Linked DNA regions of Arabidopsis thaliana. The protein of the gene in region 2 interacts with the protein of the main gene of each other region in a pairwise test. Each region holds a gene or a part of one and is shown on either strand. Other genes may lie near its edges.

The links.
Region 1: the proteins of ABCB19 (region 2) and EIR1 interact in a two-hybrid assay, tested with the Arabidopsis thaliana proteins (one study listed by BioGRID).
Region 3: the proteins of ABCB19 (region 2) and PIN1 interact in binary tests that used the Arabidopsis thaliana proteins (3 or more experiments, as listed by UniProt).
Region 4: the proteins of ABCB19 (region 2) and TWD1 interact in a two-hybrid assay, tested with the Arabidopsis thaliana proteins (one study listed by BioGRID).

The regions. Positions count from the first base shown.
Region 1 is NC_003076.8:23,098,857-23,105,830, reverse strand, and holds EIR1 (Auxin efflux carrier family protein), read right to left. Parts: upstream 5,316-6,974; 5' UTR 5,067-5,315; coding exon 4,797-5,066; exon of another isoform or gene 4,646-4,796; intron 4,549-4,645; coding exon 4,246-4,548; intron 3,866-4,245; coding exon 3,421-3,865; intron 3,024-3,420; coding exon 2,754-3,023; intron 2,456-2,753; coding exon 2,188-2,455; intron 2,101-2,187; coding exon 2,015-2,100; intron 1,940-2,014; coding exon 1,782-1,939; intron 1,659-1,781; coding exon 1,582-1,658; intron 1,442-1,581; coding exon 1,375-1,441; 3' UTR 603-1,374; downstream 1-602. Other genes in the region: AT5G57080 (uncharacterized protein), read right to left, coding at 6,463-6,525, 6,747-6,872. UniProt on the Arabidopsis thaliana protein: Acts as a component of the auxin efflux carrier. Seems to be involved in the root-specific auxin transport, and mediates the root gravitropism. Its particular localization suggests a role in the translocation of auxin towards the elongation zone.
Region 2 is NC_003074.8:10,874,463-10,879,439, forward strand, and holds the start of ABCB19 (ATP binding cassette subfamily B19), read right to left. Parts: upstream 3,117-4,977; 5' UTR 2,825-3,116; coding exon 2,570-2,824; intron 2,489-2,569; coding exon 2,434-2,488; intron 1,559-2,433; coding exon 1,383-1,558; intron 765-1,382; coding exon 564-764; intron 331-563; coding exon 71-330; intron 1-70. UniProt on the Arabidopsis thaliana protein: Brassinosteroid exporter that, in conjunction with ABCB1, supports the accumulation of exogenous brassinosteroids (BR) in the apoplast, thus promoting BR signaling initiation involving the specific receptor BRI1 and required for plant growth and stress responses.
Region 3 is NC_003070.9:27,657,684-27,663,805, forward strand, and holds PIN1 (Auxin efflux carrier family protein), read left to right. Parts: upstream 1-1,989; 5' UTR 1,990-2,088; coding exon 2,089-3,334; intron 3,335-3,486; coding exon 3,487-3,721; intron 3,722-3,909; coding exon 3,910-3,995; intron 3,996-4,645; coding exon 4,646-4,803; intron 4,804-4,899; coding exon 4,900-4,976; intron 4,977-5,126; coding exon 5,127-5,193; 3' UTR 5,194-5,570; downstream 5,571-6,122. UniProt on the Arabidopsis thaliana protein: Acts as a component of the auxin efflux carrier; this activity is enhanced when activated by D6PK-mediated phosphorylation.
Region 4 is NC_003074.8:7,618,206-7,623,128, forward strand, and holds TWD1 (FKBP-type peptidyl-prolyl cis-trans isomerase family protein), read right to left. Parts: upstream 3,273-4,923; 5' UTR 3,146-3,272; intron 2,915-3,145; 5' UTR 2,893-2,914; coding exon 2,856-2,892; intron 2,576-2,855; coding exon 2,399-2,575; intron 2,284-2,398; coding exon 2,194-2,283; intron 1,954-2,193; coding exon 1,769-1,953; intron 1,658-1,768; coding exon 1,535-1,657; intron 1,395-1,534; coding exon 1,242-1,394; intron 1,153-1,241; coding exon 820-1,152; 3' UTR 646-819; downstream 1-645. Other genes in the region: CERK1 (chitin elicitor receptor kinase 1), read right to left, coding at 1-325; AT3G21650 (Protein phosphatase 2A regulatory B subunit family protein), read right to left, coding at 3,475-3,861, 3,954-4,923. UniProt on the Arabidopsis thaliana protein: PPIases accelerate the folding of proteins. It catalyzes the cis-trans isomerization of proline imidic peptide bonds in oligopeptides.

The DNA.
Region 1 (6,974 bases), on a different chromosome or scaffold from region 2:
AAGGTGCCTAGAGAGACAAGAGCTGTCACTGAGCAAATGTTGTCTCCTACTCAATGCACAAAACCTTCTGAAAACATCAAAACGTATAAATACTTTTACCCTTAGTATACATATGCTATTTCTCTTACGCACTTCATTGAATAATAAATATTTTTACGTGTAAACTATTAAAAGATCTATTGTCAGATAAGTCAGAGGTCAGGACAACTATATAGAGAAGAATTGTTATTGAATTTCTCATGTGTTGTTGTTCGTTCAATTACGTTCCGACCAAAGAGCGAGTTCCAACGTATATCTCATCGTTTTGATACCCCACGTGATCGTTTTCACGTTACACAGTCAACGCCTCCAGAGCCAAGCCATCTTTTCTAGTACATTACATTTACATACTTAAATTCAAGCGCCGATCACCGATACGTTTTGAGGAGCTCATAATTAATCAAACGCAAGGAAAAAGAAGAAAAATAATTTCTATTTCATAAAAACTTTGGACAGTTTGGTTGAAAAGTTTGATCACTCGTTAAGATATTCACACATGTTAGATATGCACAATTTGTCTATAACGCAAAACTTATCATCAGCAACTATCTTACTACACAATCAATTGTCTAGACTAGTGCTTTCATTTGAAATGTTTCTTTCTCCACGCAAATTCTTTGTATCACTCCAAAAATAGTCCGAGTGATATCTTATTGGTGACAGATAAGTATATACTAAAATAAAGGAAAATTAAATTCTATTATAAGTTTGATTGTTCTTTACTCATCGAATTAAAATGCGACTACCTTCAAGCTTCAACCGAATATTACGTTCATAATTTTTTAACAAAAAAAATAACGTTCATAATTAACTTTACATACAAACAAAAACATAAATATATAAGACAAAAGAAATGAAATAAAAAGGTTATATGTGGAAGTATTAGTGCATTTGATCCAAAACAAAATAAAGAATTGTATGGAGATTTAGAAAAGCACAAGATCTAATCTAAACAGACTGCGCGATCTAGTAATACTTGACTAGTATATGATGAAATATTAGTGTAATTTAATAACATGCTTCACGACCATCGATAAATAGAAAAAACTAATCAATAGTAAATAATTGTACTTGCACATCCCAAAAATTTAATAAATGTAACAAAAACTACAAAGTCACGTACATGCATGTGCATATAATTAATTATACAAAGTTATCTAAATTTTCGACTATCATATGCTATAATTTAATTAATGCGACATTGCATGGTCCCATACACCTAAGCCTGACCTGGAATTAGTCTTTTTTCGTTCTTGTAATTATTCTTTTTCGTTTGAAAAAAAATCACCTTTGGGTCGTATCGCCTTTTATTTGCAAATACGTTTTGATAATAACTTAAAGCCCCAAAAGAACGTAGTAGAGTACTGTTACAGGCAAAGCAACCAGCATTCCGAATATAACCCTGAAAAATAATATCAAGTTTTTAGCTTAGGAGATCTCTGTAACTTTGTATAGTTTGAATACCAAATTAATATCTTATATATAGTATTAAAATGAAGTTTAAGAATGAAAATTAAATATTTTATAACTTAAATAACTTACGCAGTGCTGAGAATATCAGGATGGACGTTATATTCTTTGGCGAAAACAAAAGGAACGATTCCTTGAGGAAGAGCAGCCTTCAAAACATACAATTATATATATTCTTATCAATTATATTTTTCAAAGAAACCCAACATCACTAGCTAAAACATCAAACTGTAAGTTAGATTGAAATATATATAAGACTAAAGAGTAATCACCTGAACGATGGCGATATGGAGGAGATCACCTCGAATACCAATTGCTATTGAGGTGGCTGCGATCACGGCTGGTCCAGTCAAGAACCTTACGGCCATCGCAAACCCTGCTACTGATTTTCCGCACGCAATAATCTTTGGTTGCAATGCCATAAATAGACCTATATGTATCAATAATTAGCAAAAAAAAAAGCACCAAAGACTATAACTAAATATATATATGAAGGGAACTATACCAAGACTAAACATAGCCATTCCAAGACCAGCATCAGATAATATCGAAATCGATCCACTCATTATCGTTGGCATCTTTATATTCCACCTGTCCCATAAAATGATCAACAACATCAAGCAATTGCCCAAATATATTGTTATGTTATATGATTGTGACATTATTATTAGTACTTACTTGAAAGAGACAAGGGACCAAGCAAGGCCAAAGAGACTAGAGTAAGTGTTAGGGTTTCGAATGAGTTTTCTCCAAACCATTATCAGAATTAGTCTCGTCATCACACTCGCCGGCGGCATCTGCTGTTTCCTAGGACCGGGACCGCCGTCTTCCACGTCGCTACCTTTTTTGCCCATGTAAGGTGACTTTCCCCCGTTATTACCGTCTTGGTCCATTTCCACATGCCCTTTTCTTCCCGGTGACATGTTCTCTATCAGATTCTGCATCGCTGTCATCACCAAGTATGAATATAATTATAATTAAATATCACAGAAAATACTAAACTAAATTTATTATGACCTTTCTTCGACCAAAAAACTAACTTATAGAAAGCCGTACGGAACCAAATAAAAATCTACTTTAATTAGTTTAAAAGTTTTCATAAGTTTTGAAACTTTGAAAAAACTATAAAAAAAACTTAGAACCGATATTGAGCTTTATACATTTTTCCTAAAAGTTAAAAAAAAAATAGAAGCGTGGCAAGTAATGATAAAAAAAAATATGAAATAAGTTGGAGATTAATAAACCTTTAGTAGCGAGGTTGTCGTGAGGAGGAATAGAAACTTTAGGGTCGGTGGATACATCGGTGGAAGAACCTCTGGTCATAGCATTCTTCGCGTTGGCTTCCGACACCGGAGAAGCACTCGAACTCCACACGAACATGTTCATCTCCTTGTTTTGTCCTCCTACTCCTACTCCGCCACCGCTTCCTCCGCCACCACTTTCCTTTTTCTTGACTCCACTTGCTCCACTCGTTGACCCCGTGAACATTGGGTTCGGCGGTGGGTACGACGGAACTGACCATAAATTATAGAAAATTTTATTTTAAAACATTACATTATAATGAAAAAATCACATTTAAATTTCAAAATACAAAATTAATATTTTGTTTTCCAAAACTATAATCAGTTTAAAAACCTAAGAGTTTTGGAAGTGATATACTAAATTATTATTATTTTGTTAAAAGAAAAAAATAATTACGCAAAATTATTTGATGAACTCTTTACTTAACTTTTAAACCTTTTTAAACCTAATAATATCCCACTTATAATCACCGGTGACTGATGGAAAATAATAATAATATCTGAATCGATTCTTATATCTATTTAAATTTATAAAGAAGCAAAATATATTTTTTTAAAAAAATAAATAAAAAATAAATATATATATATATATATATTAAAAAATTCATACCACTATTATTGTTGTATAATTCCCCACTCATACTTCTGCCTCCTCTTCCTGCTTTCTTCGCCGTCTTCATAACTTCCTCATCAAAATTTGACGTTCTCGGCGTCACGCCTTTAGAAGACTGAAGTGAGTAAACATCTCCACCTGGACCAGCTCCAGCGCCGCCGTAGCTATTAGTGTAACCGTGACGAGGGCTTGGAGCTTTGCTTGCGTTAAACATTGCGTAGAAATCTGTCTGATTAAAGCTAGAAGCTCTCGGCGTCGGCTCTCGTGACGATTGAACGGAGTAAATCTCTACGCCGGTGAGATTTGAAGCTCGCGGCGTTATCATGGAGGAGTTAAGTCCTCCGCCGTGAGATTTGTTGAATGAAGAGATCATTGATGAGGCGGCACTTGATCTTCGAACCACCACGTGTAGCTTTCCGTCGTCTCCTATCTCCGCATCGGTCTAATGAAAGATAAATCCATATTTTTAGGTGATGAATTTCGAGTCGATGTGATTTAAACCGGATATAACCGAATCGGTACAAAAAGAATGAAAATTCAACTAGACTATAGTTAATAACTTGATATTTCTTATATTGTACTAATTATTAAATTCTGCGTGAATAATGTAACACGTCACTTTGAAGATTATTTTTGACTTCTGAAAAAGGAACTCAGACAAAACTCAAAATTTGTTATAGATTTACATAGGCAAAAAGGAATCCCAAAATGACATGTAGTCATGTCGTAACTAGTAACTACCCATTTTCTAGTTTACTTGAGTTAACCGGTCCGTTAATTTGAACAAACATATGAAAAAGGTCATCAGTGAAAAATTCATACCTGGAGGGGTTCACGGCCATTAAGAGAGATAACATCAGAGTCAACTCTGAAGGAAGTAATTGAACCAGCCGTCTCCGGGAACTGCTCGGAGATGAGAAGCTTAGCCCCACGGAACTCAAACAAGAAGAGCATTAATGTATACCATATGATGCTCTGAAGCACCACGATCTGCACCATTAGGTTACCGGAGAAGTCTCCGTACATCGCCCTAAGCAATGGGATTCCCATTACCAACGTGTTAGGCAGTGTTGATAGTGAAAAGAGCGTTATCATCCATTCTAGGCTTCCTCTGCGGCTAAACGCCTAAAAAATAATATCACAATATATACACAAACATGAGAATGTGTGTGTTTAGAGACACATATTACAAAAGAGCTAAAATGTTAACTAAAATATTTACCCGTGTTAAATGACATAGTTACTATACTATAAGCTTTCGATAACCAATATGTTTTCGAGTAAAAATTGACCATCATAGCAATTACTAGTAGACTACCATCACTTAATGAAGATAGATTATGTGCATAGAGAGATTATTGAAAGAGACGGGCCTGCCAAAGAAAGAGTGCGGCGAGGATAACGACTTTCTGAAGAGAATCAGCAGCGAGGAAGTGGTAATTCATTGCATAAGGATCATTGGAGGAGATGAAATGGAAAGAGAGAAGAGGAACCGCGAAAACCGCAACGAACCGGTTTATACCGGAACATTGGTCCGGTGTGAATATCCCCCACCACCGTACCGAACCATAGGCTAATATCATAGCAACGTATAGCGGCACCATAGCCGCTAAAACATCGTACATGTCTTTGCCGGTGATCATTTTGATTTACTTTTTCCGGCGAGAGAGAGAAGAAGAAGAAAAATAGAGATATAGATGAGTATATGTGGTGTGAAATAACGTATTTATGGACAAGGAAGTGAAGTTCCTTGAGACGATATTTAATTAATGTTGTTTGTGTTAAAATAATGGGATTCGTGTTCAAACATTGAATTATAGCTAAGCTTAGCTAGAGAGGATCGTTGGACATTTGAATATCAAATAAACAAAATATAAACCAAAATGCCTTTTTTCTTCCTCGGCATTTTGTGAATGGACAAATACTAATACAGTAATAATTTCAGTCTGAATCTTCTTTGGTCCATAATTTTTCGAAGTGCTCTAGATTTTTTCTTTTTTTCCGTTGATACTAGATATTCCTTCTATCTTTATTACTTCTGCAAAAAGCCGTTATATTTAATTTGAAGAATCTTATCTTGGGATAAGGAAGATTGGTTTACCTTCTGTCTCGTGGTCTAACATTATTTGTAAGTAAAATTAAATGCTTCAGAGATTATAAATTATAATTACACAAATGTTAGATTCAAAATATCTGTAGAGTCAGATACTTGGATCCACTTGTACGTGTAATACAAATTTGTAAATTTAGATTAGATTTTATATTAATAAGAAAACAAATTTGTAAATTTAGATTAGGTTTTATATTAATAAGAAAACAAAAACGATTTTTGTGTAAGCTATTGAGACGGCGAAGGTTGATGGACATGCACATGGTTTTTGCGAGCATCTTACTACACTTTCTGAGCGATCTGCGGTTCCCTGTAAACATCTGATTTTTAATCAGGAAAAATACAATTGTAATTAACTTATCTTTTAATCTTGAAACGGTGTATTTTTGTTTTTAAACGAAAATCTCTTAATGATTTATTATTAACTACAGTCAAAGACATTGGCAATTGGACCGATGAATAATTAGCCTCTCTTCCATATTTAATTGTCGTGTTTTCTTCATATTGCAATTGTTAACGTATTTATCACGCCACGTGATTGGGCGTTTGGGCCTAATGGACCTATGGATCTAACGATGGAGATACTAACTAGATTATCACTAAAATCTCTTTTGAAGTTCCAATATGTATCGAAGACATGGTTTTCCACAATCCGTAGCAAAGACTCCATCAATTCGTTGGTCTCTATGTCATCTACACGATCATCGCGATTTCTTATATCTCTTTAAAAAAAACGGTGAATTGACCAACAAGAAACCTAAAAAGAGTTTGTTCTTCTTTACATCTTCACAAGAGGAAGAAGAATAAAAGCCTTTAATAAGTGATCTCAGTTTTAAACTTTATCCATGTTTTTTTGTTAACTCATGAATTGAAAGAGAACAACCAAAGTGAATGTAGCCTGATAAAACAGGATGAAACTATTGAAAGATTCAAACTTTGTTTACAGAATCATCCTTCTTGGCCACTTCACTACTTTCCAACGGTGGTAAACTCTGCACAAAAGTAAAAAGCAATCAGATTACAAATCTCTCATGGGCAATTCATCGAACACCTTATGTGCATTACAATAAAAGAGAGATCACAGAGCCAGAGAACGAAATGAATGGTTTTAAACCGATCACGCTTATGGGCATTATCAAGAACGAAGAAAGTGAGCAAACCTAATACATTTGAGAACCCTAACATATGTACAGAAAGAGAAGGTGAAGCTTACGAGATCTGGTTTGTAGATGTTGTGGACAACGGAGGCTCCGGCGAGAAGGGAAGCAACGACGACGAGTGTTGACATTGCCAGAGACGGAGTTCCCGTCGGCAACTTTCCTTTATACGGTTTCTTCATCTTTGGCTCTGCTTTTTGACTGAGCGCGCGATATGAAGAGAAATTTGAAAAGCTTTTCGAAATTTTGAACCATCATCAACAAGTTTGCTTTTATAGCAAGTC
Region 2 (4,977 bases):
AGTGACATCCAAGTAATAACAAAACACAAAATACACAAAACCACATCATTGTTATGTTTTGAATTCTTACATTCCACCAACAATAGCAGAGAATATAGCAGTAAACGCCTTTCCTCCATCGGTTTGTCCATTCCGAATAAAAACTCCAGCATACCAAAACACCAAAGCCCATGACATACAAGCTATTCCATAAGTACATCCTAAACCCAACCCTTTAGCCATCCCCGCTTTATAACCGAGCTTAAGCGTATACTGAATCGCATCCGAATACGCATTAAGTGCCTTACTCTCTCCAACATAAGAATAAACAGTTCGAACTTGAGCAATTGCCTGAGAAACCAAAACATCAATCATTAACCGACCAAAGAAAAGCAAAGATTTTGAATTAGTGAAAACACTGTTTAAGTCTTTGGATTGCATAAGAAGCAATGAAAAAAAAAAAAAATCATTTGAGAGATCAAGTACAAAGAAGCAAGCCTAAGAACAGTTAAAAAGCATTACGTCGAACAGTTGGTGGGCATTAAATAAAACAAATAAAGGAACAAACTTTAATCTTTATTTACCTGCTCGGCGATAACACCGGCGTTAGCATAAGATTCACGGCTCTTTGAAGTAATTCCGGTGAGTGTATAAGCGTATAAACCTCCGGCGAAAGCGATTCCGGGAATCACAGCAACACTTAACAAAGCTAATTTCCATGCTGATACAAATCCAACTACTAATCCCGCCAAAAATGTTGAGAGGTAATGTATAAAGTTTCCAACCTGAGAAATTCAATTTTTTTTCAACTACTCTGTTATTAATTCACTTCATCAACAATAAAAAAGAGTGATGATAATAATGAAACTAGGGGACCCAGTGCATGTTAGCTCGTGCTTGCTAACGTGCACCACAGAGACAGGACCAAATTGCAAAAAAAAAAACAGTTTTAGATAAAATGTACTATTAAAATTTGAAGGTACTTTACACATTTTTTTTAATAACAAATATTTATTTTACTTGTTAAAGAAACATTATTTTGCATAATAAATATTTTTCACAATGGAAAAAAAGAAGCTATTTTTATATTAAAAATGTAAGAAAATGAGTACTATATCATTTAAGTTTTAGTTAAATAGTGAAAAAAATCCTCTATTTCTATAGCAAATTTGTAAAAAAAAATTACTTATTTTCACAATCTTATGAAAAAAATCCAACTTTTATTTTAACAAAAAAAAAAATCAATCTATAGTCTTTTTTCTTCCCTAACCACCTGAGGCGCAAGATAAACGACGGTTGCTAACATAAACGGACCCAAAACTTTGATAAAGATTGATCATGAAAAAAATGGGACCCGCCGGTAAATACTAGATTTTGTTGGTAGTAAAAAAAAAAATGGTTACCTTTTCACTAATGGCATCTTGAACAAGAAGAGTATCAGTAGAAACACTAAAGACAATGTCACCAGTTCTAGCATCAGTATCAAAGAACCCAACGTCTTGTTTTAATACTGCTTCAAGATATTTCTTCCTTAATGCTGCTACTTGTCTTTCTCCAGAATACATCCAACATGCTATCTCTGTAAAATTATTTAACAAAAAATTATGGTTATTATTACAAGAATTTTTATGAAGTTGTAATAAATGTGAGAGAGATGCCCATTTTTTTTTTTTTTTCGATATAGACAAAGTAGTAGTCCATGAATCACGTGGACTTGGCTTATCCTTTTAACATATTAAAATTTTTAAAAATTTGAAGTGTTTTTTTTTTATATATAATTTTGATTCTCTCTAGATTGTGATTTCTGTTTCTAGGTTTTTATTTATTGAAGCAAACATAAAAAAGTTGGGTTTTTGTTGTAGAGTAAAAAAATGTTTACCAGAGTAAATGATCACTTTGTGGAAGAATCAAATAAAAACTCAAAAATTACACCTTTAGATTTCTTGTCTATAAAAGCGGTTGGCACGGAAAGTTCGTTCCGAACCCCATTACATCACTTATGTAAACAACATTCTATAAAAATGGTTTTTTTAGTTCTAATCAAAAGCGAATGACAAAAAAAACAAGATTTTAAACAAAGTTTAAGCTTTCTTTTTTTAATATAATTTTGAAGCAAACAAAAAAAGAAGTTGGGTTTTTGTTGTAGAGTAAAAAAAAATGTTTTACCTTCAGAGTAAATGGTCACTTTGAGGAAGAATCAAATAAAACTCAAAAAATACACCTTTAGATTTCTTGCCTAATAATCTGATTTAATTTATGTTAATGGGTTAATTGGTTGAACCAAAAAAAAGAAAATAATGCAAATGTTTAATCTAAACTTTATTAATTTCTTGATCTTGTTTTCTTTTTTTTTTGTGCAAAAAATTTCTTGATCTTGTTTATAATGTGATTTAATTACTGGGTTTCTTGATTGAAGAATAAAGAAAAAGAAGATTGGATTTGTAAGAAACAAACCTGCGTAAGAAGAGAAGCAAACGACCAAACCCAAGTAGACGAAATATAGAGAATACTGCAAAATTTCACAAACACAAAAATTAGATCAGATCTTGGATCTAATTTGATAAAAACAAGAAAGAAAAAAAAGACTTACTCTAGAGACTTCATGAACCATTTGATGTAAATCCATTTGGTTTTTACCAAATCCATTAACCATTTGACCAAAGAGTAAAAAGAAGACAGGCATGGAAGAGCCATGAACAATGGCACCAAGAGAACCAACGAACATTAAGAGATAATCAAATTTATCAGCGAAAGAAAAGAGTTTAAAGAATGGTAAACTCTGTTCTTTCTTCTTCTCTGCTTCTGCTGGAACAGTCTTGGCATCGGTTGTGTTAGTTTCCGACATGGTTTTTTGTAGATCCGAGTTAAAGAAAGTAAGAAGAAACGAGTTGGTTTAGTGAGAAAACGAGATCATTGAGCAGTGAGAGAGAGAGAGAGAAAGAATGAAATGTTTTTTGTTTTATAAAGTTTTTCTTGAAAATCTGACAATTGTTTTGTGAAGTTCAAGAACTCTTTTACGAGTGTCTTGTTTTGAAGTGGTGAGAAGAGAGAGAGAATGAGAGTGTGGTTGGAGAAGGGTGTGATTGGTATATATAGGAGGGAGAGAGAGTGATGAAGACTAGTGGTCAAAGACTCATTGAGACATGAGAGATTGAGAGATTCGTGTTGCTAGTTGATGTAATTAATGTTTAACATTTTGTAAAATGGAAAAAAAAAACAATTAAGGGTTTACTTTGATTTTATTGGATTGTTTGAATTGACTAATTTGTGTTAATTAATGTCATTTTAGAAAGTTTTTTTTTTATAAAGATCTTTTTTGTTAAAGTTATGTTGTGTTCAATTAATATTTTTAAAGTACTACAAATCAAAATCTGGTGTGATTCAATGGTTTTGCATAAGTAGAGATTTTAACAAATCTGCAAGCATTTTTTCTGGTCAAACTATGAAATGGGAATTTTATTGAACATGTCATTGTATAAAAATTCATGTTTAGAGTTAGATATAATCCAATGAAAGTTTGATTACAGTTTTTTTTTTTTTTGGTCTAAATAATTTTTAAACAACATTAGATATTTTATATTTTTATATTGTTACATTAAGAAAACTTGATTTTTGTGTAAATACATATATATATATATATATATATATATATATATGTATAGACAACTTGTCTAAAATTATATAGAAGTATTTCTATGGTCAACATATAAGTATACAAATTTTAGCTCAATTTTTCATTTAAATAAGTAATGTTTAAAACTTTGAAATGTATAAATCCATTAAAGTCTTCATCACAATGATGATGTACTTTGGTTTCTGTCTAATAAGTTTTGAACAACATCATGTATTTTGTATCGTCACATTTAGAAAACATCATATATTTTATTTAATAATTTCTATTATAACTTGATTAATAATTTCTAAAAATTTAGGAAATTTTTTGATGTATATCCAATTAACTCCTTATGACAATGATGAAGAACTTTATATTTTTACTAATAAGTTATAAATGACATCATATACATTATATCATCACACTTAGACAATTAGTATAAAGTTATATGATTCAAATCATAGGGTAAGCTAATCAGTAGCGATTACTTTTTGTGTTATAATAAGCATGTCAAGGGGATCATTACCTTTCTTATGACTACCATTTCATTATCTCCATTTTGTGATAGATCAAGGCTGAAAAATCATACAAATTAGAACGTTATCGAGTATAAATAACAAATGATCGATTAGCTCAGACCATATCATGAAAAATAGATGATCTCTCTGACTCTCTCATACGATTATCTGCATACTAAACAAGCATATGCTATTGCACCCAAACCCGAGATATCGAAACTGTGGGAAGTCGATCTTTAGCAGAAAGAATATCGAGGGATCACTTGTGCAAACCACACAGTTTTACACAATACCTATTATCGAAGGATATATAACTAATCATTTGTTTGAAAAATATGTGTGAGTTTCTCTAGTAAAAATATTAGGATACAAATTTTAGTTAAGTTGTCATTTTAAAATTTGATGTTAAAATCTTTAACTGTATATAAATTCATTAAGTGCGTTTACCAGAATGACGCCAAACTTTGGTTGTTTTATAATAATTTTTAAACAACATCATGTATTTGTAATGTCACATTTAGACAACATCATACATTTTCTAATAATTTTAAAAATTCATGTTTCAATTTCGATATATAAATTTTTGCAACTAATATAAATTCAAGGATCAGCTAGTCCGTTACTGTTTGGTGTTATAACGCATATGTTTTTTTAAAAAAATTCAAATTTATGTTCTTCTCTTGTTTATGAAGTGTAATTTGTAGTACGATACCTCTTATTAGAGTGGTAGATTAATTTAATGGAACATCAAACATTTGGTGAAGGAACTCCAATAAGAATTATGAAGTGGAGAAGAATATGAAATATAATATTTACAACAGATAACCGATTATAACCAGGTCCATTTGTCTTGATTTTTCTTATGTT
Region 3 (6,122 bases), on a different chromosome or scaffold from region 2:
AGTATCAGCCATAAGACTCACTTTATGTATATTAAAGCAGGTCAATATAGATCATAAAGTGTTAATTAGTCAAAATTTGCTTTATTAAACCAAACTATCTTACTCTCTTTTCCATTTTTCCCGTTTCAAGTGTTTGCTAAAAGATCAATTTTAATTTTCTCGTTTCAAGTATTTGCTAAAAGGTCATCCATCACCCATAACCATAAGTCAAGCCGTGCAAACATAGAGTATTAGAAAAAACGTTAATTTGAGTTCAATATTACACAAAGTCGCAGTTGTAACAAGGATTTGCACAACAAAAGATTGAAAGATTAATGGATTAGTGACAAATAATTTGAAAGATCCAAAATATCATTAACTATATGGAATGTGAAAAAATCCTGCAATTTTTTTTTTTTTTTTGCCGTGTTAAAAATTCAATTCTTTCAAAGAACCAATTTTAAAATTATTTGTCAGTAAAAAAAAATAGAAACTACTTGATTTATAATTTTTAATAGAAAAATGATGTTAAGTCATCAACTCTTTTATTTTTTCGTAACTTCTCAACATATTTACTTTATTCGGATTGCATAACCTACTTTTTTTGTGTGTATAGTCTCTTTAAGCGCAAGAAATGGCAAGGAAAGTCGAATTATATTAGTACTATATATTATTATTATGCTTAAAAAAAAGTTGAAAACATTGGAAAAATAAAAAGCTGGAAAGAAAAAAAAAAGAAGAACTGTGTTTGTATGGGATGATGAGAAAAATGAAGAGCAGACTGTTGATGGAATATTGTGTTTCCTCAAATATCAACACTCCTCATTATATCATCAACCCATTGCTTTTTGTACGGACTTTATTAGTAGTATTAAAGAACACATCAGACTGATTTGTGTAAGCAAACCAGAACCACCCTCTTTTCAACATTTTTCTTTCAAAAAACTTCTACGTATTTATGTTCAATAAAACTTTGTTACTAATTTTCTCAACGAAATATATTTTATAAAACTTTGTTAGTAATGTTATACAGTAAACAGTAAAAGAAAATAAGTTCCAAGATGAGCGATCAAAGGATTGAATAGTTCATAAATAATTCGTATGCGCAACTACAACTGTAAATGATAACCTATGCAATGATAACTCACACACACCCATCTCACATGAAAAAGTGATTTCGACCTTATGTTAGTGATATCACATCTTTTCTTTTATCTCCACCCACAAAGTCTTTGGTTAGGAACTAGTTTGTTCAATTGCAACCATTTTTCCAAAGACTTTCAACCTCTCTTCGGAGAAGACTTCTATCTTTAAAACCAAAATTTTCTAAGTTCATATAAACATCAAATCGAGCCTTATATCATCACTTCAATGTGTATTTATCTTCTGTTGTGATTTATCAATTGAAAGTCAATACCAAAAATCCCATCATACTAATCACAATAATTTATAGCAAAAATAAATTTAACAATTTTTAAACATGGTAAAAATATAAATTTAATAATTAGTATAGGGGATAAATTGATCAACCGAATAGATTAATTCATAATTTGAAAAGGCCAAAAAAAAAAGAGAGAGGCAAAAACAGAGGCTCTGCTTTGGACTCCGCAAAGCGCACAAGGCCGCCTCTTTCACTATCCCCAAAGCTCCACCACGCACCCATCAACCACCATTTTTATTTCGTTTTTATTACATTCAAAAAAACTTCTTTTTGTCGTATTTCAATCAAAATTACATCACACACACTATTATGTTGGAATGTTTAACAAAACAAATAAATATGTTGAGCTATTCCAATTTTACATTTAATGTTTTTTTACTCCTACACGTAAACTACTTTTGAATATAATATCTAGAAACTAACCAAATAATCGAAAACGAAAATAATAAAATCAGCAAACAGTTTTAGCTTCATTAACAAAATATATATATGTTTAATTAAAAAATATGGTATTTTCTCAACGGACAAAAAAATAAAATAAAAAGAATATAAAAATGTGGTCTCTTCTCAACACTCACTTTACTCTTTTTTCCCTCTTCACCACTTCTCTCTCAAACTAAAGACAAAAGCTCTTCTCTCTTCCCTCTCTCTTCTCCGGCGAACAAAAGATGATTACGGCGGCGGACTTCTACCACGTTATGACGGCTATGGTTCCGTTATACGTAGCTATGATCCTCGCTTACGGCTCTGTCAAATGGTGGAAAATCTTCACACCAGACCAATGCTCCGGCATAAACCGTTTCGTCGCTCTCTTCGCCGTTCCTCTCCTCTCTTTCCACTTCATCGCCGCTAACAACCCTTACGCCATGAACCTCCGTTTCCTCGCCGCAGATTCTCTCCAGAAAGTCATTGTCCTCTCTCTCCTCTTCCTCTGGTGCAAACTCAGCCGCAACGGTTCTTTAGATTGGACCATAACTCTCTTCTCTCTCTCGACACTCCCCAACACTCTAGTCATGGGGATACCTCTTCTCAAAGGCATGTATGGTAATTTCTCCGGCGACCTCATGGTTCAAATCGTTGTTCTTCAGTGTATCATTTGGTACACACTCATGCTCTTTCTCTTTGAGTACCGTGGAGCTAAGCTTTTGATCTCCGAGCAGTTTCCAGACACAGCAGGATCTATTGTTTCGATTCATGTTGATTCCGACATTATGTCTTTAGATGGAAGACAACCTTTGGAAACTGAAGCTGAGATTAAAGAAGATGGGAAGCTTCATGTTACTGTTCGTCGTTCTAATGCTTCAAGGTCTGATATTTACTCGAGAAGGTCTCAAGGCTTATCTGCGACACCTAGACCTTCGAATCTAACCAACGCTGAGATATATTCGCTTCAGAGTTCAAGAAACCCAACGCCACGTGGCTCTAGTTTTAATCATACTGATTTTTACTCGATGATGGCTTCTGGTGGTGGTCGGAACTCTAACTTTGGTCCTGGAGAAGCTGTGTTTGGTTCTAAAGGTCCTACTCCGAGACCTTCCAACTACGAAGAAGACGGTGGTCCTGCTAAACCGACGGCTGCTGGAACTGCTGCTGGAGCTGGGAGGTTTCATTATCAATCTGGAGGAAGTGGTGGCGGTGGAGGAGCGCATTATCCGGCGCCGAACCCAGGGATGTTTTCGCCCAACACTGGCGGTGGTGGAGGCACGGCGGCGAAAGGAAACGCTCCGGTGGTTGGTGGGAAAAGACAAGACGGAAACGGAAGAGATCTTCACATGTTTGTGTGGAGCTCAAGTGCTTCGCCGGTCTCAGATGTGTTCGGCGGTGGAGGAGGAAACCACCACGCCGATTACTCCACCGCTACGAACGATCATCAAAAGGACGTTAAGATCTCTGTACCTCAGGGGAATAGTAACGGTATAGTCCCTCTATAACTTTGTTGTTTTGTTTTCGCACCCTAATTTATTTTCTTTACAAAAACACCCCCAAAATTTCTCTATGTCCTTCGATATTTATGATTTGGTTAAGGGGTTCTTTAATTGTTTACATGTGTTGTTGCCTTACTTTAGACAACCAGTACGTGGAGAGGGAAGAGTTTAGTTTCGGTAACAAAGACGATGATAGCAAAGTATTGGCAACGGACGGTGGGAACAACATAAGCAACAAAACGACGCAGGCTAAGGTGATGCCACCAACAAGTGTGATGACAAGACTCATTCTCATTATGGTTTGGAGGAAACTTATTCGTAATCCCAACTCTTACTCCAGTTTATTCGGCATCACCTGGTCCCTCATTTCCTTCAAGTACTGTTTCAAACTTGTCTTATTTTCACTTTACTTTGGTTTTGGTCTACTATTTTAACCACTTTCTTGATGCATAAAGGGTCAGCCTTGAATGCGTATATGTTTGAAAGTTTTTTCTGATAGATTGAAGTAACAAAAGATTTGAGAAAGATCTCTTTATTGGAATTAAATTGATGTGGTCTGTGCAGGTGGAACATTGAAATGCCAGCTCTTATAGCAAAGTCTATCTCCATACTCTCAGATGCAGGTCTAGGCATGGCTATGTTCAGTCTTGGTCAGTTCCTTTTTCTCTTTTCTTTTATTTTTACCTCTTTTCATTTATTACATAATTAAATACCATAAAACAGTCAATTGTTCTCTTTATTTCTGACCTTCATTCTTTATGGTGTTTTTTAAATTTTAAATGATTTTAAGAAAAAAAACAAATCATGTGGAAGCATGATTCTCTCTGTTTTCTTTTTCTTTGAAGTTTTTTTGAAACATGTTTGTATCAAAAAAGCAAACAAAACTGGCTTCACAGCAGAAAGCATGCTCCACAGTTCTCTGCTTATCATCATAACATGTCTCTCCCTTGAATAGGAGGAACCATTTTTTATTTTCTCTTAAAGCAACAAACAATTTTTTTATACCTAATATTGACCCCCTTATCGATGAAAAAACTTTCTTTTTTACCTTGTTTATGTTTCAGTAGACTTCCATCAACTGATTATAAAATTTGTGCTTAATCATGACTTTATGGAATGAATAGTTTAGGATAACGATAATGATGATGTTAATGTTGTGGTGGTGGATCAGTGGCTGTGATGATTATTTTTATGTCACTCTTTTGCAGCTAAAAACAGTGTATAAACTTAAATTAACCAAAAAGCAAAACAATAATAAATTATTTGTTTAAATTTGTGGCTTTTTTTGGATGTGTTAAAGGGTTGTTCATGGCGTTAAACCCAAGAATAATAGCTTGTGGAAACAGAAGAGCAGCTTTTGCGGCGGCTATGAGATTTGTCGTTGGACCTGCCGTCATGCTCGTTGCTTCTTATGCCGTTGGCCTCCGTGGCGTCCTCCTCCATGTTGCCATTATCCAGGTAGTTTTTATTTGCATGATCAAATATGAAACACTTCTGTTGTGTCTACTGTCGTTTATACGATTTCTAACCATTATTTTTATTGACAACAAACAGGCAGCTTTGCCGCAAGGAATAGTACCGTTTGTGTTTGCCAAAGAGTATAATGTGCATCCTGACATTCTTAGCACTGCGTAAGTTTATTAATCTATTAAATAGTTTTGTTGTTATAACAATAAATTTTGTTGTAGAAAAAAAGTTAGGTTGGTTTTGCCTACATTAATTATGATTAGGTGTATATATAAATATATTTTTGTTAACGTGAGTTCTGATTTTTGTTGCAGGGTGATATTTGGGATGTTGATCGCGTTGCCCATAACTCTTCTCTACTACATTCTCTTGGGTCTATGAAGAGATATTACCAAAACACAGGGACTTTGTTTTATTCTTTTGTGGGATGATGAATTGTGAAAAGAACAATGCCCTTTTTGTTGAAAACCCACAAATTAAATCAGAAGCAGCTTTAGAGAATCTTTGAGGATAATTGAAGCTCTTGAAGAAGAGAAGAAGAAGGAGACTTAAGTAGGAGCTCAGCAAGTTTTACCTTTTTCTTAATTTTAATGAACATTCGTGTTTCCTCTTTTGGTAGGTTTTAGGAATTTGTAAAAGCTTTGGCTACTTTTAGTGAATTAAAAACGTTAAGGAAAATATCAAATTTTGTGTGCATGCTAAAAGTGAATTGGTGTGTATAGGTCTAAATCTCACCAAAATAAGAAGTGTTTTAGCCATTTCAAAAGTTAAGTTCACTTAACATTTCTATGTTTCGTTTGCCTAAATGTGAAAAATCAGAAACTAAAACAGTAAAGTACATCTTCCACAAAATGTTTGAGAAAGGGATTTCTACGGGGGATTTGGGAAAATTTAAAACGTAGTCATGAATATTAGAAACTTTACAATAGCTTAGGTGGGAAGGTATGAAATAGCATGTGACTATAACAACACAGACGACACGAGTATTGGATTCAACAGAACACTCGATTAAATATGTAGAAGATAGGGGACTTGGTGCATGCGTTACGTTATTCGACTTGGTCAAGATTCCTCTTCACTGCGTTTGTGGAATCTTGAAAGATTCGTTTAGTGTTGTCAATTGTGTATCCTTTTACCGATTCTTCTCAGAATCATTACATACCACTTAGATGCTGATGCTTTTTATGAATAAAAACAAACCTTCATATTTATACGACGATCTTATATAATGATAAATCAAATGTATAATACTTAACTTGGTTTGAATTGTACTCTCGACATGAAAATCATTTAATTGCTAAAAATATTGG
Region 4 (4,923 bases), 3.3 Mb from region 2:
GTCGAACACTGTAGCTGAAATTGTGCCCTAGGAAATCACCAGGTTGACATTCGCAAGGGAAAGGTACAAGAACCCTAGAGCCCATCTGGATTCTATCTTTGTCTTTAATGTTACTGTTGTACCTGAGGATTGGATCGAAATTGATTTGATCGTAAGGCGCGATTGAAGAATTGAGGTTTTGGTTGATGACGGAGAGTGTTGTTCCGTTCTCGAGATAGTACGAAGCTAGAGCTAAAGGACAGCTAGTCCTGCACTTAGATTCCACGGCGAAGAAGAATGAGAAGAGAAGAAGAATCGGAGCGATTAGAGAAATCTTTAGCTTCATTTTGAAGCTTCCTTAGATTCCCCAGAGGAAGGGTCTCTGTTTTTTTTGTTTCGTCGTTGCTCTGTGGGGAAGAAGATGGATTCAAAGACGAAAAAGGTTGACTTAATCAAACGTTGACTATTTTTTTCAACTAAAGAGAATGATGATTACTGATTAGTGTTTGTTAATTGTTGAGAAGTTTCTTAATTAATTAATAATACTAAGATCATTTAATGCAACTAGCAGCTGGAATTTGAAAGTCTTTGGTCAAAGACAAAAACTATGAAGACCGCCATTTCTGTTGAAGGAAGTAGATTTTACGTTCGAATTTTGTATGTTTTTTGTTAAAAATTTATTTTTTTGGATCAAAATATAAAGTTACTTTATAATCGAAAACAATAGAGACTATTTTTTTTTCTTATATAAAATATTTTTCAAAATTCTCACTAATAAGAAATGGGGGTAGATCTTTCACGTTGGTCTTTTAGAGTTGAATTGTTACCCTTCTTCATACATTAATCTGCTTTAACTCTGTGGCGTCGAAAGATACGGGAGAAAAGGGAAACAAACCATTGCCATAACACTATCAACCAAAAAAGGCTCTTTGACTTAGCACCACCTTCATCTTTCCCTTTGAATATTCCTTTGTACATTTCTTTCTGCTTTTGGTACAAGGCTTTCTCTTGCTCTGCAAGTGCTCGTAGCTCTCTTCTAATCGCCTTGTCGTCAGGAGCATACTTTTGTGCCTTTCGGAAATCATCACGTGCTGAGTCCATCTGTCCTAGCTCTGCCTTTGCTTTCCCTCTTCTGAACAGTGCTTTTGGGTTTTTCTCTTCTTCTGTCAACACCTGATAAGGTTTTGAGTTTGATTAGATTTCGAGAAACCGAGTATGAACTTTAATGATTTTCTTCAAATGAATGGTTTGATGAGTCTTACAATGTTGCAGTGACCAATTGCTTCATCGTATCGTTTTAGTTTGATGAGGCAAGCTGCTATGTTAAGATGGCATGGGTTTTTAACTGCTAAAGCCATATCCTGGTACTTCCCATACAGCTGAAACATAAAATCGTCCCCCATGTATGCTATGGCCTGAAACAGCAAAACCATGACTAATCAAAAGCCGAAAGAAGACACAAGAGCCTCGAGCAGACTCACTAAGTATGCCTGAAAACCTAAACTTTGACCGTAATTGTTGGAAAGAGAGATAGAGATAGAGAGAGATGCATAACCATTTCATACTGTTGCATGGCTTCCTCCAGTTTCTCCTCCTTAAAAAGAGAATTCCCATCCATTTTTCTTCTGTCTGCTGCACCAATCCTTTCCTCTACAGTCATATCACTGCGAGCTTTTCCCTGTTCAATACATCATCTAAGTCAGAGAGGTAAGCAAGGAGGTTGGGATAAAGCTTGGATGTGGAGTCGTCTTGGTAAGGAAACAAGATGATGGTATAGGAAATAACTTACCTCCTTTGTTTCATCAAACCCAATAACTTCCACCTCATATAACAAGTCTGCCATAGGTGGAACATTCGGAAAAGAAAAGTTTCCTTCTTTCCCATAAGCTAATTCCCAGCCAACATGCACAAGCGCACGTTCACCAGACTTCATGCTAGCAACACCGATGGCTAAACCGGCTAGTTCTTTTTTCTCTGTCTCACAGACAACATTTCACTCTTAGTGCACAATCTTTTTTATAAAAAAAATTGTATAGTGACGTTAAAATGGGCTAATCAGCATTGAAGCAAAAAAAATACAAAACTCAATCTTTTTTCCTCCCAAATATCCATCTCATTGGGTTCATATAATACACAAGCTAACTCATCAAATTTACCAATGACGATTCATCTAACGAAATGGAGGTGTAGAGTACATATTCGACAGCCACATACCTTTTCCAAGAACCAATTCAATAGGTTGCTGCTCATGCCATGTATCCTCAAATTTGTGCTGCGAGTTTTTGGTCCATGCCCTGTAGTGCACTATGGCCAATATGAAATTGGTCAGATAGAAAGATTCAAATAAACAGTAGCAATAGGCCAACAAGTGCAATCGAAAAATCAACATCCAATCAACAGAAAGCTAAAGGGTACTTACAAAAGCATGTAGAGTACTTGGATGGTTTGGAACCGTGACCTTCCTTTATAATCTGCTTACTGACTTTCTCATCCAAGACCTCAGCTTCACTATCAACTTTAGGAGGAACATTACCCTCTTGAGATGGCTCACTATGCACAACGGCACTTCCTTCAGTAACTATTTCGCTCTCTTGGTCTGGAGCCACAAAAGATGCATTAGTCAACCCCAATAGTCATTCTCAATTCTTAACAAACAGAAAAGGAGTTATCAAGTCTAACAAATTTGTTGTATACATGCTTTGTTCCAAGATTCACAATATGATTTAGAAAGAATAACGCAGTCAACATAATTTGATAGACATTTATCCTTTAACAAAGCATCCAATTGAATATGGGACAACAAAAAAACTCCAATCAAACATATTGAAGTCATATATATGTATTCAGAGAGATTAAATCTATGAAAATTTACTTACCATGTGTTTGAGTTTGATGCTCCAGAGATTCATCCATTATTTCCCAAATCAACCTGGGTCTGAATAAAAATGTGCAAGTGTCAATCCAAAAATTGAATCTTTAAGTGTTGAATTGATTAAACATCGACCAAATCAGACAAGTAAGATTCAATGACAAAAACCCAAAAGAACATAGTCGAAGTCAGCTACTTGAACCATTTCATTTCAAAACAAAATCAAGTCTCGTCGTCAATAATAGCAGAAAACGAAGAAAAAGTTTGTCAATTTAGAGAAGAGGAGAGTGAACTTACGAAGTATGAGAAGCTCAAGAGTAGTGTGACTCGTCGTCGTCGTCGAAGTCACTCACGAAGACTGGATCGACCGAGAGATAAATTTCAGATTTTGATTCTGAAAATATAAAGAGACCCTTCGACTTTTCAGTTTTCACTTCAGAGTCAGCCGTTAACTAACGAGAGTTTTAACGGCGTTTATTATAATTCAGTAAAATAATATCAAATATTCTCAATTTGACCCAAAAGATTATAATTTAAAAAAATAATTATACAGTCGTCTCTCAAGAACCATTTCTATAGTGACCACAAATATTTGTTACAAGTACATAGTAACCTACGAGAGCCTACTACGACCCTGTGGACTCAGAGCTGCTTGTAGTAAGATTGACTGAGGACACAAATCTTGGAACCAGTACTGCCTCGTTGGTTACAACGGTCTTTGAAGTAGCTAAATCTTCTAACCGTTGCCATGTCCTTTCCCGTTTCGCTTTAACCTCTGTTTTATTCACTTCTTCTACTTGGAATTTGGCTAAACACTCGTCGAAAAGAACTTGGTCAATCTCGCATAATACTTTCCTCACGTTTATAGTCAGACTTTGAACTGCTTGGTTCCAATGTCCACGCGTGTTTCTCTCAAGAGCTGGGAAGACTATAGGCATTATCACTTTATGGTTCTGAGTGATCAGGTTTCTTATGTGATCGTTGTTCCATAGAAACAATGCTCTTTCAGCAACCTGACAAACAAAAAGTACAACTTCATATATAGGTACAAGACTTTATCAAGAGAGATAGATATGAAGTTGTGATGATAGTCAAAGACTCGAACCTGGAAATGTGAACTGTTGAGGCATCGAGCAATTTGTCGGGATAATGGAACCATACAACGTTGAAACTCAGCGGCTTGAGTTGCTTCCAAGACTTCTTCTAACTCTCCAAGAAACATAACTTCCTTTGAGCTGTTAGTCACAGGCCAATATTTTAAAAGACCTCTAATAACGGTATCAGCGAGCTTGAAGTCCTTTTCTACAAACTGAACAATGCAATACGAAAGCTGTTGGTGATAGACTGATGAACATTTAGGCTTGTGGAGAGGAATCAAGGCTCGCAAAAGGAAGAGCTTGTGCTCTTCTTTTAAAGGCAAAGCAAAACCATTAATTATACTTCCAAGAATCTCTAGCAACTCCGCAATGCCATTATGCTTTTCAGTCTCGGATATGAATCTGTAGAAGATATTGTTTATCGCCTTTCTGATGTAAGGTCGATGCACCATGAACTTCCCGTACACCCGATGCAGAATAGTTTTTAGATATTCCCTCTCTCTTTGATCTTCAGAATCAAACAAGTCTAAGAGCTTCAAGACAAAAGAATGGTCAATATATCTCTTGGCAAGCTTTGCATCAGTCATGGGAGAAGCCACGAATCTGAGAAGAATCTCATACACAACTTGAACATGAGGCCAAGCTGGCTCCAAAGAAGGTTCTTCATCATCCATATCATGTATTTCAAGAATTTTACTCTCGTGATTCGCAGAAGGAAAAGTTCTAAACAGATTAACCGCTACCATCTTCGTTAACTCTTGCATCGAAACATCGTTAAACTTAAAACCAACTGATGCAACATAATCAACAAGCTCAAGCAATGTCTGCCTCTTAATCTCTTTCTCCTTAAGGTTCTTAGACGGATCACTAAAGTCAAAAACAACACAGCACATACTCAACTTCCCGATAAAGAGATTCGGTTTCTCCGATATAGGAACATCTCTAAAGCTAGGCAAAGCCTCATAAACCCCACCAGAA